2 linked regions of the Notamacropus eugenii genome follow. The protein of the gene in region 2 binds, or shares a complex with, the protein of the main gene of each other region. Links are inferred from orthologs where the notes say so. Each region holds a gene or a part of one and is shown on either strand. Other genes may lie near its edges.

Region 1 (7,684 bases), on a different chromosome or scaffold from region 2:
GCCTTCCTCTGTCTTCTCCTGTTCCACCTCTTGACCTCATGGGAGAATACAGTATGCTGCTAATGACACTTACAAATTAGATTAAAAGAATCTGATAAAAAATTAAGAGTTCCTAGTTCTATATTAACATAAAACCTGTCTATGAGTCTATTGGTTATTATTTTGTGAATCAATCATATAAAAATATTTTTTAAAATCATAAAAAATAAGCTTCTGCTTAAGCTGCCGTTGAGGGGCTGCTTGCTTCTGTTTGTATTCCAGAACTACCTCCAGACTGTCCACTGCTTTGGCCTATTTATCATCCTAGCTAGGGTGGCCCTTCATTGAGAGGAGGAGCTCCAAAGGGATCTTTAACATTTCAGTGCTCATCATGATATTATAATGATAGAAACAAATATTTCAGATCTTTAAATACACCATCCTAATTACTAATAGGAGCAGTAAGGTATGGTAGAGAGATAGACTTCAGGGCTCTGTGCCTCAGGGGAAGTCCCTTCCCCTCCCAGAGCCCAAAGAAGCTTTGAGTATAGGCTCACCTGTATTGGTAGAGGAAGTTCTGGGATTGGAGGTGGAAGAGAGAAGTAAGAAAAGAATTAAAGGAATGTTTACAGTATTCTCCCTCCCCTCATATTAGGACTTTGAAGTGAATTGAAGGTGAAAGTGAAATTTGGGGACTTTTGGTTTTCTTACCCTGCTGTATTGAGAGACCCCTAGAACAGAAGGCAACCCACTTTTGGAAGAAGCTGCATGGTTGTGGAAAGAGCAGCGGACTTGGGCATTGGTTCGCCTTCTGGCTCCTATACTTAGTATCTGTGGGATCTTGGCCAAGGCACATCACTTCTCTTAGCCTCAATTTCTTCATCTGGAAAATGGGGATAAAAGGTACCTCTTACTAACCAAAGAAAGAGCCTTATAGCACTTGAATTGCTCTAGAATTCTGAATCTGGTCCCACTCAGGAAGTGCCACTAGGTTTTTAGAACTAGGGTCTCTTCTTGAATGTAGAATGGAGGACTAGCAAGTATACACAGTATGGTTATAGCATACACTGCTATAATTCCTATTTAGAGAAGAGACTGGAGAGTTTCTAGAAAGTCACAAATACATGTAACAAAAGGACCCTGCTCCCCAATTTGGAGGATACACAGACATTCAGGTTTGATGAGTGTGTGACAAAGAGAGACTGGTGATCAGCTATACAGCTTGCACTGGTTTATTCAGACAACTCTAATAGGCCAAAGCTAGACTTGGATCTTTCCTGCCTAGCTTCAGTAGACTGCTGAGGAGGAGAATGATGCAAATGTCCCCAAATGGAGAAATGAGTCTTGCCCCTCCTCTATCCCCACTCCCCCCACACCCAGAGGGCTGCCTCAAGTGACACAGAAACATGGTGCTTCTGTTTCTTCAACAGTTTCTAAGTAAAAGAGTATTGGAGAGGGCTATGAGCAAAGAGCTCTTGAAAAGTAGGTTAAGGGCTCTTCAAAAGTGGGCTGCCAGGTCTTCATCTGGTCATTCCAAGTTCATGAGTTCCATGTTCTTTTCTCCGATAATTATTAATCAGGCCTCTCCAAGTCTGTCCAGGGCCAAGGAAACTGAAACATCATTGTCATATGGACATCTTAATGTTTGTCTAGAGAATTGCCCCAATGGCTGGGTGGTTGAGGCTGCTGGGGTAGGGAGTGGGAGTGGTTGAATGAAGCCTAGGAAGTCAGTAGCCAAAAAAAAAAAGGGAAGGCTTCTAAACAGTGCTGACGCATCTGAAGCCCCACATGCTGCTTCAGCACCCCATTCACCAAAAGAAAACAAGTCAACCAACAATTGTTGTTCTCTGGGTGGGACAGTAGGTCTGCCTCTTCTGTCAGAAAATGCCAATAGGAATGCATATGAGACCCAGCCAGGCAGTCTAAGCCTGCTGGCTATTACTTACACTGTCATTCCAGCATTCTTCAAAATGATGTCTCTAAGAGTATCTTGAAGGACTTCTCTCTCCCATCCATGTGCTTAGCCCCTGTGACTTGTATGAGACCTGCTCCTAACCAGGAGGCATGAGTAAAGTAGCTTGTACTCAGAGTTCTTTTCTGAGGCCTCACTGGAGTTTGACTGGAAAGTCCTGTTTGAGTCTGGTCCTAAACCCGTTAAACCACCATCAAATTGCCCTGAAATGAGGGTTGTCCAGTCTTTCTTTACTCAAGTTTCAAGATGCTGAATGTCTACATTAACCCACCAGTAGAGGGAGTAAAATGGGGCAAAACTAGCAGGTTTCCTGAAGGGAGACACAGAGAAAGGAGGGGAATATGGGCTGGAGGTGTGAGAAAATCTAGAACTTTTAGAATAGGAATCTCAAATCCACAATTTCAAGATGCTTGATGCTCCCTTTCACCCCCACCCCCAAGACCTGCTGTAGAGTTCTTTGTCCTGTTGCTCAGTTGGATCAGATGAACAAGTCTGTGGAAGCGTACTTACTCCTTCCTTTTAAAATAATAAATCATGCTTTTTCTCAATATTGGTCTAAAAAATCCTGTTTCTCAGTTGAGTGAGAATCTAATGAGTTTTCCCTTGAAGAAAAGGCTTAATGGCAAGGAAACATTGTCCTGTTCCAAAGTTTCCTTGTGTCTGGCTTTTCATGATCCCAATTGGTGTTTTCTTGGCAAAGATACTAGAGTGGCTTAGCTATTTCCTTCTCCAGCGCATTTTACAGATGAGGAACTGAGGCAAACAGGGTTAAGTAACTTGCTCAGGGTCATACAACTAGGCAGTGACTGAGGTCAGATTTGAACTTACAAAGGCGGTCTTTCTGATTCTAAGCTCTGTGCTGTATCCACTAGGCCACCCAACTGCCTCTAAAGTTCCCTAGTTTCATTCTTAACAAAGACTTGTGCTCATCCTTCGTTTTCGAAGAGGACCATGACATCAGAGAAATAATGACATGACTTGTACTTGACTTTGTTTTGAGTGAGGGAGGGCTGTGCAAGATCACCAGCCTTAACTAAGACTTAACCAGTTGCTAAAGGGAGAAGCCTCTACCACCTGAAAAGTGATGATTGTAGTGATCAGGATAAGGTGATCGCTAAGATCACGAAGACTTCCCTCCCTTAGATTAATGCACGTAAGAGAAACACCTCTTGAATTCACTTTTGACCTTTAACACTTAGGGGATTAGAGCTTTAATGGGGGCCAGGAAGAGAAGGGGCCAGTTTGGAAGGTAGGTATGTGTAGGATGCTAAAGTGTTGGGATTTAAGAATCAGAGTCATAGACCTAGAGATGGAAGATACCTCAAGGGCCATCTCATCCAATGCCTTCATTTGACAAATGAGGAAACTGAGGCATGATATGAGGTCATTGAATACTTGTAGCACAAGGTAGAGGCTGATTTTGTAGGAGAGTTGGTAGAGGGCCAAGCAAAATTCATTTGCTTTATAATTCCCTGTCTAGGATCAATCTTGTATTCACAAAAGGGGGAAAAACTCTCTTCTTTTACTCTGACTAGATATATACCTCTGCCCCCAGGACTAAAACCCAAGCATTGTTCTCTTCCTTCCTCTCATTTCCTGAAGAAAATGCAACTGAGCCAATGGCATGAATTGATAACTAAACCAAACCAAAACGTGTTATACTGGACAATGTTAAGAGAGGTATAACTTCTAAGGAGGAGGAGTCATTGGTCCCCTATATCTCTGCCTGAATAGACCACATCCAGAGGCTCCGGGAACTATGATTTAGGAAGGATCTTGGTCGTCTGAAGCATGTTCAGAAGAAGGTAGCCTGAATAGTGAAGGGTCTTGATTTTGTATAATAGAAGGATTGGTTGAAAGAACTGAGGAGGTTTATACTGGAGAAGAAAAGACGGTTGTGGTAGTGAGATACGATAGCTGTCTTCAAGTATTAGAAGGACTTTCCCATAGAATAAAAATACATTTAGATTGGGAGAGCAGAACCAGGAACAATGAATGGAAGTTTTTATAAAGCAAATTTAGATTTAATATCAGGAAAAACTTATACAATTAGAGCTGTCATTATGTGATACTTTAGTTCCTAGCTGACCTAAGTGGATTTTTACACCTTGCTAATTGGTCAAGTGGGCAGTGGATAGAGTTTCAGGCCTGGAGTTGGAACACTCATCTTCATGAGTTCAAATTCAGCCTCAGACACTTACTAGCTCTATGACCCTGGGCAAGTCACTTAACCCTGTTTGCCTCAGTTTCCTCATCTGTTAAATAAGCGGAAGAAGGAAAAGGTAAACCACTCCAATATCTCAACAGGGTTGAACATGACTGAAAATGATTGAGCAAAACAAAAAGAAAAACTGGTCAAGCAATGGGTACTACTTGGAATCATTTCCTGCATTTTCTTTGACACTCATGCCATAGGTTATGAATCTCTCATACTATCTTTCTTATTTCAGAACGTTGGGTGATTTGTGTGAACTCTTCTCCTTGGATCCTGTTGTGATGGGAAAGGAGAATGAATACCACAACTCCTAGGCACAATTTACGCAGAGCTGTCTTTGGAATACACTTTTAGGCTCTAAGGATGATGAAAGAGGGGTACATGTTAGAAAAAGATACACCAATCTCATGGAACATAGGAGAGGCAAGCTAAGCCAAAATCATGGTCAATTTGGCTTAGAATTGAGGGATTTTCTTTGCTTCCTGTAGTTCTAGTGGTAGCTGCTAGTCAGGTTTCATTTTTTGTTTCTATAATCTACTTAGACTCTCCCTTCCTATTGGAAGAATTTTCAGTTCGTCATTTTCCCCAGTGGGTGGAGGCGTGTCAGGACTCAGGAGGTACAAGCTGCTGGGAGTGGGGCCGGAGAGTCTGGAGAGAGAAAGCGTTAATTAAGCCCTCTAGATGATCTTCCTTCTTTATCTCCTCATGACATCAGCCACCCAAGGAGGCGATGCCAGTGAGTACCCCAAGTGAGCCTCTCCCTCACCCCCCACCTTCCCCCTAGCTCTGGAATGGTCAGTCCAGGAACTACAAGTTTTCTTCTCAAGGCATGTGATGAAATTGTGGGCTGGCTAGCTGTGCCAAGTAAGGGTATTTTTGGTTTACCCAGTGTTTGGGGGAGGAATGGAACCGTTTTTCAGTTCTTTTGGGGGAGGATTTAAATTTCATTTTGCTTCCGAGTGGGTGAAATCCTCTCCAGAATGCCTTTCACAACACCTTTCTCCCTCCCACCTTGCTTCCTTTTCTCCCCTTCTTTCTGCCTTTCTTTCCTGCCCTTGGCTCCTTCTCTTATCTTCCCTTCTGGCTTGGTTGTGTAGCTGGCATTTGGGGTTGGGACAGGAAGAAGCATCCCACTTCATTATTTTCCTCTCACTTCAATCTGGATTAGACCAAAGGACACAGGGAGAAACAAGAACACGCAGAGATGCTAGGAGCACTGTGAGAGGCAGCAGCGAAAATTTTAAGTGAAAGGAGGACTGACCTCGGAGTCAAGAAACCCAGGTCTAGTTCTGCCTCTGACCCATACAGACTAGGTAATCATGGGAAACTCTTTTGACCATTTTAACACTCCAAGGTTCAGATGAGTTGGGGAACCTGAATGGGTGGAAAGTTTCCGATTCCACACTAGCACTTCTTATGGGAATGGAAATCACTGGTCTGTACCAAAAGGAAAAAGAATTTTTTGGAGGCAGAGATTTGCTTTCTTTTTCTCTGGAAGAGGTGAGGGGAAGGGAGCACATTCTAGAAAGCACAGAAGTATCCATGATTTGCTTCAGATTTAGGGAAGGCAGATTGAGCTTGTCCCTAAAAAATTAAATGCCTTTCAAACTGGTGTTAGAGATCTCAGGGACCAAGTTGGAAGTTAGTTCTCCAAGTCTGCTGGGACTTTTTATGGCTCCAACCTGTGATTTCCAAGGGAAAGTCCTCTAGGAAATTCTAAGTTTGGAAACTGCCTCCATGGATACTGATCTCAAAGCAATCTGTACATGTGATCTTAAAGAGTTTTGTGGGAGTGCTGAAAAGCTGTAACTTCTCCATGTGATCATGATCACGTTGCTGTAGCCATGGAAGATGGTTATCCATCTTCCACTTGTAAACTTCTAAGGAGTAGGAACACAGCTCTCTAAAGAGGAGTACCTCTGCAGGCATTCCATTTGGGACAGCTCTAATTGTTAGAAAAATTTCCTAACACCAAGCTTGAATTTTTTTTTTTTTGGTAGCTTCTGCTCACTATTCCTGGTTCTTTTCTTTAGAGCCAAATAGAACAAGTCTAATCCTTCCACCTCACAGTCTTTCACATACCTGAAGATGGCTATCTGTTATCAACTGCCTCTGAGTCTTATCCTCTGTAGGCTCAACATTCCAAATTCCTTCAAGCAATCCTCCTATGATATGAACTTAAAGACCCTTCAGTATCCTGTTTACCCTTCTCTGGAGACTCTCTAGTTTATTACATCCTTCTTAAACTGATATGGTCATAACTAAATACAACACTCCACATGTATCCTTAGTAAGCACAGAGGAATTATCCAACAAACATTAAGCATCAGCTGTGTGCAAAGTGCTGTATTAGGAGGTGAGAATTCAAAGACTAAAAATGAAATAATTGCTGCTCTCAAGAAGTTTGTACTCGATTGGGGGAGACAACAGATGCATACAGAAGAATGTAAAATAAGTACAAAGTAGTTAAATACAGGATAGAAGGTGAGGGTACCAGCAGCTGAAGGAAAAAGGAAAGGCTTCATGTAGAAGGTAGCATGTGACAGGAGCCCCATGTGTACTGAAGCCACAGGTCTTCCTAACTCCTAGGCCTAGACTCTCTACTCTGTCATGCCACCTCTCATTGCTAAGGTTTAGGGTTATGAAATAGAATTTCACTATGAGAAGGAGCTTTAGAGGTCTTTGGTCTTTCTTGAATATTTTACAGATGAAGAAACACAGGAGAAAAGCCTTAGACTGGTTAGTGGCAGAACCATGCCTAGGATGTGAGTCTCCTAAATTCATTCACTGCCTTTTGAATTGCTTCTTTAAACTGCATTTAGTGGTGAGGAAAATTAACTCTTCAGCTGGCTGGATAGGGATGGCAAAAGATTCGGGGCTCCTTCATCTCCTTGCATTTATTACCTTTCCTATAGCTTAAAGATATCAAGAGGGAGTGGGCAGCTAGGTGGAGTGGGTAGCTAGGTGGTGCAGTGGATACAGTACCAGTGCAGGAGTCAGGAGGACCTGAATTCATATCTCACTCAGACACTTAACACTCATTAGCTGTATGACCTTGGGCAAGTCACTTAACCCCAACTGCCTCATCCTGGGCCATCTCCAGTTACCCTGATGAATATCTGGTCACTGGATTCAGATGGCTCTGGAGGAGAAGTGAGACTGGTGACATGCATAGCCCTTCTTCACTCAAAACAAAGTCAAGTGCAAGTCATGTCATTATTTCTCTGATGGTGTGGTCTTCTTTGGCAACGAAGGATAAACGCACACCAAGAGGGAAATTAGCTAACGGCAGGATGGGTCATCCCCAGGAAAGGCAGAAGAGATCTGGGATTGAATCTCCATTCCCATATTTACTAGCTGTGCAAATTGACATTGAATGATATCCAAAAGAAGATAAGATACTGAGTTCATAAGAAGATATGGTCAAACTCATATCAAGTTTCCTCATGCTTTGAGGCAACTAAGTGGTACAGTGGATACAGTGCTTGGCTTAGTGTCAGAAAAATCTGAGTTCAAAA
Region 2 (7,601 bases):
GCATACACCCTCTGGCCCTGGCCTTGGTGCTGCCGCCTCCATTCTAGGTGAAATGGGCCCAATCCAGGGGCGATGGAGAAGCCACAGAGCAAGGAGACAGAGGCACCGAGGGAAGACTGCACATCTGGAGTCTGTGTCATCACCTGGAACTCCACTGTGGGAGGAGAAAAAGGGATCTATGAGTGTCTATGGGCCACAACCTCCAGAGGGCTGGGGGGAGGGGAGGCCCTGTCTAGGTTTGCCTATAAGGGTGGGTGGGAAGGGGGGCCTGGATCCCTGTCTGGGGAGCCTGGGGGTGGGGAGGGGGAGGGGAAGCTGGGGTCCCTGTCAGTGAGGGTGAGGAGGGTCTCAAATTCAGCACCAAAGGGAGGAAATGAGCAGGTACTGCAGAAGAATAAAGTCAAGGAGGCCTGAAGGAGACCCTGGCCTCCCGCTGTGGACCTGCTGGGGACAGTGGCCTGCTGGTCCAGTCTGACCTAGGGGATTTCTGGTGTGGAGGCAGGGGCCTGACGAGGTGCACACTGGCCCTTGGGGTGTTTTGTCCTGGATCATTGACCAAGGGAAGCTTGAGATTCTGCTAATCAAATGCCCACAGTGAAGGCCTAAAAAGGCACAGAGTCCACCTGAGACAGGACCAACATGGGTGCTGAGTTGGAGGTTTTCAGAACAGCATCTGGGTAAGCCAAGGCCCAGCCTACACTGGATCCCATGAGGGGAGGGGAAGTCGCCATGCCCCTGAGGGAGGTGACAAGTGAAATCCAGTACAAACTAAAGCTTCCTCACCTGATGCCAGCATTGTCCCCCGGGGCGTCAGGGGCAGATTCAGCTGTGGATGCAAGGGAGCTCCCTTCTCTGTCCCTCCAAGGGTCTTTATCACCATGGAGACACTGAAGCCTCCCCCAGACACCTGAACAGTGCTGATGAAATAGGCCACGTCCTGGGAACTGGCCTCCTCTCCAGCCTGGTTGAGGGGAGTGAGCTCACAGGTCACCACCTTGTCTTGGCAGGTGGCGTGAAGCAAGACCTCAGCGTGAGGAAGCTGCACCTGGTCCACTGCGAGGGAGGAAGAACAAGATGCGGTTACTGGAGCAGGCCTGGGCTGGGAGCCTGAGCAGGACTTGGCTGAGGCACAGACAGGGGCTAAGGAGGCAGGCTGGTAGGCATTTAGGAATGGGGCAGAGTGGGTCCGCAGTCCCCAAGTTCTCACCAGCCGCCTCAAAAGCAATGGGGTTGTCTTCCTTGCCCTCAGGAACCCCTGGGAAGTCTGTGAAGCTGTCCAGTGTGCCATCATCCAGAACCGGCACTTGCTTCAGCACCAGGGTGGCCTGAGCCACATTCAGTGGCTTGGCAGTGATGCCCCAGCCATGCCCATCCTCTTTGGCCAAGACACAGTCCAGGATCAGATCAACTCCTCTGCGGGGCCCTCCAGACTCATCCCGCTCTGCAGAGGAAAAGAAAAGGTGAGTATCCTCCAAGCTGTCCCAGGGCTCCCCAAACCAGACCGCCGGCCCCCATTAAGTGTCTAGAGGGCTGCTCCCCAGCTCCACAAACTCTAGTGGTTCCCTATCACCTCTAGGGTCAGATGCAGGGCATCTGAAGCCCTGCCCCCTCTCACCCCTTCCCGTCTTCTCAGTCTCCCATTTTACTCAGCTTCTTCACTCTATTGACTAGGCTTCTCTACCTGTGCATAGTCACTCGTCTCCCACCGGCTCACATCCCTTCTCATCTCCGTCTTTTTCCTACAAAACAGCCTGAATCGCGACTGCTACCTGAGGTCTTTTCTAACCTAGCCGCTGGTGCCCGCAGACCACCCCCATCATCTCGAATTGATCACATATGTACAACTCGTGTTGGCTCCCAAAGTGAAATGGGCATTCCTTCAGGGTAGGCCCTGGTTCGCTTTTGTCTCTGTGCTCCCAGGGCACACCCCTAACTCCCATCCAGCGTTGGGGTTCATCACTAGGGGCAGATCCAGACTTCGGAGTGGGGGGTCACAGGGCTGAGGAAAGGGGGAGCTTGGAGAAAGGGTCCTTGCCAAGGCTTGGGACCTGGAGGCTCTCCTCCGCCATTCACCCTCCAGCTGCGCGCAGCCATTTCCACCAGTACCTGTGGCCTTGCTGCCTCCCCGGCCCCTCCGCCCCGCTGGAGCCAATTCACCCAGCCCTGCCCTAGGCCCCAGGCACCTGAAGGCGGCCCCCCCCTCGCCTGCCCCGCATCGCACCCAACCTCCCAGGAGCTCGCGTGCGCAGCCACGCACACAGACACACACAGGCACTCACACTCACGCACACACACGCGTGTCCCGCACACTGCCTAGCACAGCCTCCCGCGCCCCTGTCCTCCCCTGCCCTTCCCCACCAACTCCCAGTAGCGGAGCTCACCCGCCCAGGTGGCCACCGCCCAGCAGAGGAGAAGGGCGCGCAGGCCCGGGGCGCCCATGGGTTCCGGGGGGGGTCGGCTCCTGGCAGGCAGACCCCGGATGTCTAGCAGTGTGGCCGATCGGTCCTTAGCCCTCTGGGTCTGCGCATCGGCCTCTCGTCCGTCCGTGTCCGGCCCGCGGCCCCCTGCTGCGGCCCTCTCCGCAGGCAGCTCTCCCTCGCCCGCCCGAACGCAGTTTCCCTTTCACTTTCGCTCTGCTCCGCGACAAGAGGCTGCAGCCTGGGGGAGGAACAGAAGTGGGCAGAGGGTGCTGGCGCCCCGCTCCTCCTGCCTGTCTCCCCACTTCGCCCATCACTGTGTGGAAGGAAGGGCTTAGGAGGGAGAGCTCGCCCGGTTCCTGCGCCCCGACCGGCCGGCTGCGGGGATGGAGTGACCGGGCGGGCCGGCGGCTAGCGAGGGAGCGCTGGGCTGGGTCCTGGAGAATGACAAGGACAAAGCTCTGGGGACCCTTCCTGGGGTTGTCCAGATGAGTGACCCCAGAAGCACAAGGCCCGATCCCCCTCAATCCCCGGAGAACGGCCCCGAGGCGCCGCCAGTCCTTGGCCTCCTCCTGGACCTTCTCCTTTAGTTTCTGCAGCCAAATGTCTATTTGGGAGAGGGGGAGGGAGTAGCGCTTAGGCTGGATGTAAGGAAAACCTTCTTGGCCCTGGCAACAAAAGTGGGCTGGACCAGGCTGAGCTGGGCCTGTCTGGGCCGGCCTGGCCCTGGGTAGAAAGGTTCTCAGTAATGAGTCTTTGGGGGGATGAGTTGAAGGAACTATTCGGGGGATCCTTTCCAGGGAGGAAATTCAGGATTTATGGGAACCCCAGAAGGCAAAATCTTCTTGTAGTTGAGGAAAGGAAGGGCACAGAGCCCAGTGGCCCTGGCAGCTGCCCAAAGTCTGCCCTGGCTTCTGTACTTTGGGCATGGCCTGCTCCTGAACCACCCTGGGAGGCACAGCAGGACAGTTTCCCTCATCTGCAGTGGGAGAGAGAAAAGGCTCCAGGAAGGTGATGGAAGAGGTAGTAGAGGCAGTGGAGGGAGGGAAAGTAAAGGAACAGGACCAAGAGACCACGGTAAGGTGTCAGAGAGGAAAGAGCTGGAGGAGAAAATGAAAGGAAGGGGAAGAAAAGAAGGGAGCTAGCAGCAAGAGAGGGGCAAGGGGAGACAGGAGGCAGAAGGTGGGTAGGTAGGAGTTGGGATGGAGAAAGGGGGGAGAGCCAGAAGGCAAACCAGGGAACAAGCTTTGGAACAAGACCTGTCCCAGGTGGCACCCCAGGGCCCAGGAAGGGAAAGTCCCATTGGCCTACCCATCGATACCAACTAGAAAGTGAGTGAGGCAGACCCTGTGGGGAGGGAGCACTCTGCCTCCTCCAACCCCATCCGGTGCCTTGAGCTCTTTTTTGAGGGCCACTGTTTAAAGACATAGAAAGAGAGAGTATCCCGAGGTAAGTGCCTTCCATGTGGCAGACCCTATGCCAACTGCAGAGGATACAAAAGAGGCAAAGACAGTGCCCTCCCTGGAGGACCTCACAGACTAATGAGGAAGACAACATGCGAACAGGCCTGGAGTGGTTGCCCCCTGAAGGAGGGACCATGCCAAGGTCAAGTTAGGCTCAGCCTCAGGAACAATTTCCTAACCCTTTGGGCTTTCCAAGAGAGGAATGGGCTGCTTCAGGAGGTGGCTGATTCCCCGCAATGTATGTATTAAAGGTGGATGGGACCTAAAAGGACATTGAGTCTAGACCCCATTTTACAGGTTAGGAAACTGCAGCTCAGAGACATGAAAGGATTTACTTAGGGTCCCACAGCAAGTCAGCCTCAAAGGCAGGATTGGAACTCATTTCTGTCTTCTGTGCCAAAGCCGGGTGATGGAGCACAATTAGAAGAACAAATCATCTAACCCTGTAAAGATGACAACCTGGGGAGCCCCTGGCATGAGGGGCCAGCTGCCTCCCTCAATCTGGCCATGGTGGGCTCTCCAAAGTCACCTCCCTGGTAGCAGCCCAGTATCAACAGGCAGCAGCCCCTGTGAGATGCCTTGTTATTCTAGGCCTTGTCCATCACATGTGTGGTCAGCTGTAGAAAACATCTCCTGGGCCCTGGACACCCAGGCTGTCCAGGAAGGGACCTGAACACCCAAGGCCTCCATCCTACAGCTCATCTCCACAGCCTCTGGCTCTTTGTCCAGGCCCAGGTGATCCTTAGCCCAGACTAAGCTCAAAACTGCATCTAGTGTGACCTCTTTCAGAAGATGATGGCCCTCAGGATGCAGAAGAGGGTGTGGCCCCTTTATACGATGGTCAGCCACTGAGCCATCAGGCCCAAGGGCATGCAGACCCCCACCCACCCACCCTCCTGGCCTGGCTGAGATTCCATGGGGGGCTACTCACAGGAACCAAGACATAAAGTCAGGCATCCATTGAGAGCAGCAGGGGATCTCAGGCCCACAAACCGAGGCCACCTCCAGGCAGGTGTTCAGAGTGTGTTCAGACTGGCCACCTTTGCTCTGAGCCACCAGCCTCCTCAAGAGGAGACATCATTTTCAAGGCATCTGCCAATTCCTTGTACTTTAAAGGACCTGTGAGAAGATGCTCAGGGCAGCCAGAGAATCTCATGACCTTCAGCTCTTGGCAAGGGAGCTCCCCTTCTGTGATGCCCCACCAGACGAGCAAATCCCTGCTCAATCCCTGCTAGCCCTGAGGAAGGTTTCCCTACCAAATGTCAGTCAAGGCTGCTTCTGAGAAAGGCAGGCAGGCACTGACAGGCATTGATGGAAGACTGCTATTCTTAAGCTCTCCATTCTGCTGAAAAGTTGAGGGAGAGAGCAAGATGGAAAGCAAGTTCCCACTCTAATTGTCTAGTAGATGAGAGAGAGCATGGAGGCTGGCCCAGGTCAGGGAATTGCCTCAGCAGAAGAGAGACATCTTGTCTGGAGTTAACCAAGTCCCCAGAAAGGTCATGGTGCTTCTGTGCTTCTCTCACTGATGGGGACAACTTTTCTAAAGAAAGAGTCACCCAAAAAAATGACCATCATAACAGCTGACCGACACTGGGCTTTAAGCCCCCGAAGCACCTTTCAAACTTTTTTCCACTCTGGAAGGAAGGAACGTTATTATGTCTATTTTACAATGAGAAACTGAACCTCAGGGACATTAAGTGATTAGTCCAGGGTCCCACAGAGTCAGGTTCCAACTCAGTTTTCCAGACTCTGTCCACTGCTTGTTCAACTCTGCCTCGTCTTTATGACATATACTCTGTGTGTCCCTTTCTCTCTGGAATTCTCATCGGTTACTTAGTTATGTGGAAAAGCCACACAGAGCTCAAGCCTCCATCAAGTCCAGCCACAGCCATAAGCCCTCTGGCAATGGCTATAACTGAGAGGAAACAGCAAAGGAAATGACAGGGGAAAATCAGATAATGGAATTATCACTTCCCATTCAAAATCACTCAGCCCCCGAGCACAAATGAGTGCAGTCTCCCACAGTCATTGTGCTCTCTCCTCTCCTCATTTCCTCCTGCTTCCTGCTGGGTTAACTGTATTTCTGTACTCAATAGGAGTGGGGGAGGGGGAGTGTGCTCAGTGTGTGATGTGTAGTATGTGTGTTCTCTGTGTGTATGTGCTCTGTGTGGTGTGTGTGTGTGTGTGTGTGTGTGTGTGTATGTGGTGTGGGATGTGTATTCTACCCTCCTTCAATGGTCCAAAGAGAGGGAGAACTCAGGCTTAAGGGCTATTTACTTTCTGTCTCCAGGTACCTGCGTCTGACTGAGGCTCGTTGTTTGCCCGCTCCGCTCCTGAGGCTCCCTGGCATAGTCCAGGAATTCCCCAGCCAATGATCCTATATCTTCCCTTGTTGAGGCTTGGAAGCTCACTGACCTGAGGCCACCACCACTTCACTATATGTTCAAGCTGCCATCCACCAAAGCAAGGTCGGGACCGCTGTTGCTTCAGAGAAGAATCATCAACCTTTTGGAGCAAAAGCACCTAGTGGAAGATTCCCTGAGGTGATTCTACATAGGTTCAGTTCTGTTAGTAGTAGACCTCATGACCCCAGCTTGCTGACACCCAAAAGACTGCTATGGCAGTGGTGAGGCTTCCAGGACCACCCTTCCTAACATGACCACTCTTAGTTTAGTTATGGCACCTGGATTCCATTTACCACTTCCCCATATAATGTTGTACCATTTAACAACATTAGTTTAATTGTTGTTCTTCTAATATAGCAGAAGCTCTTTGTTCCACAACCAAAGAATTAAAACACTCTTGGATGAACTGAGCAATATCAATTTTAACTCTAAAGTAACAACTTGAAGATATCAAGAAATTCCATCTAAATAGACACATGGCTTCCAGGTCCCTCTTGGAGAGGTAGTTCAACTTGGCAAAGTTGCTTTTATTGGGAGCCCAAATACAAGACACCACATGGCTTCATGAATCCTTGGCCAGTTCTTGCTATACCCTTAAAGGATGACCTTAAAGAAACTGACCACCATGAAGCTCATTGCAGCCTCTGCTTCAACACTGAAGATGAGGAGGCAAATCAATCCTACAAAGACCTCAAGATCCTCCAATTCAACTCTGATTCTCTGATTATTCTCTGATATTTGGTGACCTGGGCACAGGGAGGATGACCAGAAAGTCTGTTGGAAAAATGTTTCAAGTATAAAAAACAGACGAGACCACTTGTAGATCACTCAAAAGCTCTGCATTTAATCTACTATACAGAATAGAAGACAAATATTTTCTTTAAGGAGAGAGTTGGAAAGAAGGTGCTACACATCAGAGAAACCGAGTCTGACTATATAGTAACAAGTATCAGGTTACTAATATAAGAATCATCACAGAATCATCTCTCTAAGACTTCCCACTAATTAAAGCAAAGGTCAAAACGGACATCAAATTGGAATAATGGCAAAGCTGGGATGACAATGCAGTGACAAGAGCTTCACCAAATGACAGAATTTGAGAGTTGGGTGGGATATCAGTGCCCATCTGGTCCAACTCATACACAAAGGAATCCCACCAGATCACACCAGCAAACGATTATCCAGCCTCTGCTTGAAGACTCTGGAGGATGGAGGGGAACCCACCACCTTCTAAGCAGCCTGTTCTGCTTCAGGTCAGCTTTGTCACTTCCTTCAGCCAAGCCTCATATGTCAACCTGATCAAACCATCAATGATA

Evidence for each region.
Region 1: the proteins of TAPBPL (region 2) and major histocompatibility complex class I-related gene protein are in contact, whole or in part, in an NMR structure (PDB 7RNO), measured with the Homo sapiens proteins. The link is inferred for Notamacropus eugenii from reciprocal best matches to the Homo sapiens genes TAPBPL and MR1. Residues at the interface, in NP_060479.3 of Homo sapiens: His47, Arg48, Gly49, Ala50, Ala52, Ser53, Ser54, Leu129, Met131, Thr132, Glu133, Thr135, Arg228, Gln230, Lys232, Gly233, Arg234, Gly235, Thr280, Ile282, Gln293, Ile295, Gln297, Arg307, Leu308, Ser309, Ile320, Cys321, Asp322, Leu355; in NP_001372090.1 of Homo sapiens: Arg101, Arg104, His105, Asn107, Thr129, Gly130, Phe131, Leu132, Gln133, Ile143, Phe144, Asn145, Asp147, Thr148, Leu152, Ala153, Val154, His159, Thr160, Lys162, Gln163, Ala164, Ala167, Asn168, Gln169, His170, Thr213, Phe214, Pro215, Asp248.

What each region holds. Positions count from the first base shown.
Region 1 is NC_092873.1:464,526,723-464,534,406, reverse strand, and holds the start of major histocompatibility complex class I-related gene protein, read left to right. Parts: upstream 1-4,679; 5' UTR 4,680-4,847; coding exon 4,848-4,902; intron 4,903-7,684. UniProt on the Homo sapiens protein: Antigen-presenting molecule specialized in displaying microbial pyrimidine-based metabolites to alpha-beta T cell receptors (TCR) on innate-type mucosal-associated invariant T (MAIT) cells.
Region 2 is NC_092874.1:488,668,131-488,675,731, forward strand, and holds the start of TAPBPL (tapasin-related protein), read right to left. Parts: upstream 3,013-7,601; 5' UTR 2,440-3,012; coding exon 2,382-2,439; intron 1,442-2,381; coding exon 1,208-1,441; intron 1,054-1,207; coding exon 784-1,053; intron 155-783; coding exon 1-154. UniProt on the Homo sapiens protein: Component of the antigen processing and presentation pathway, which binds to MHC class I coupled with beta2-microglobulin/B2M. Association between TAPBPR and MHC class I occurs in the absence of a functional peptide-loading complex (PLC).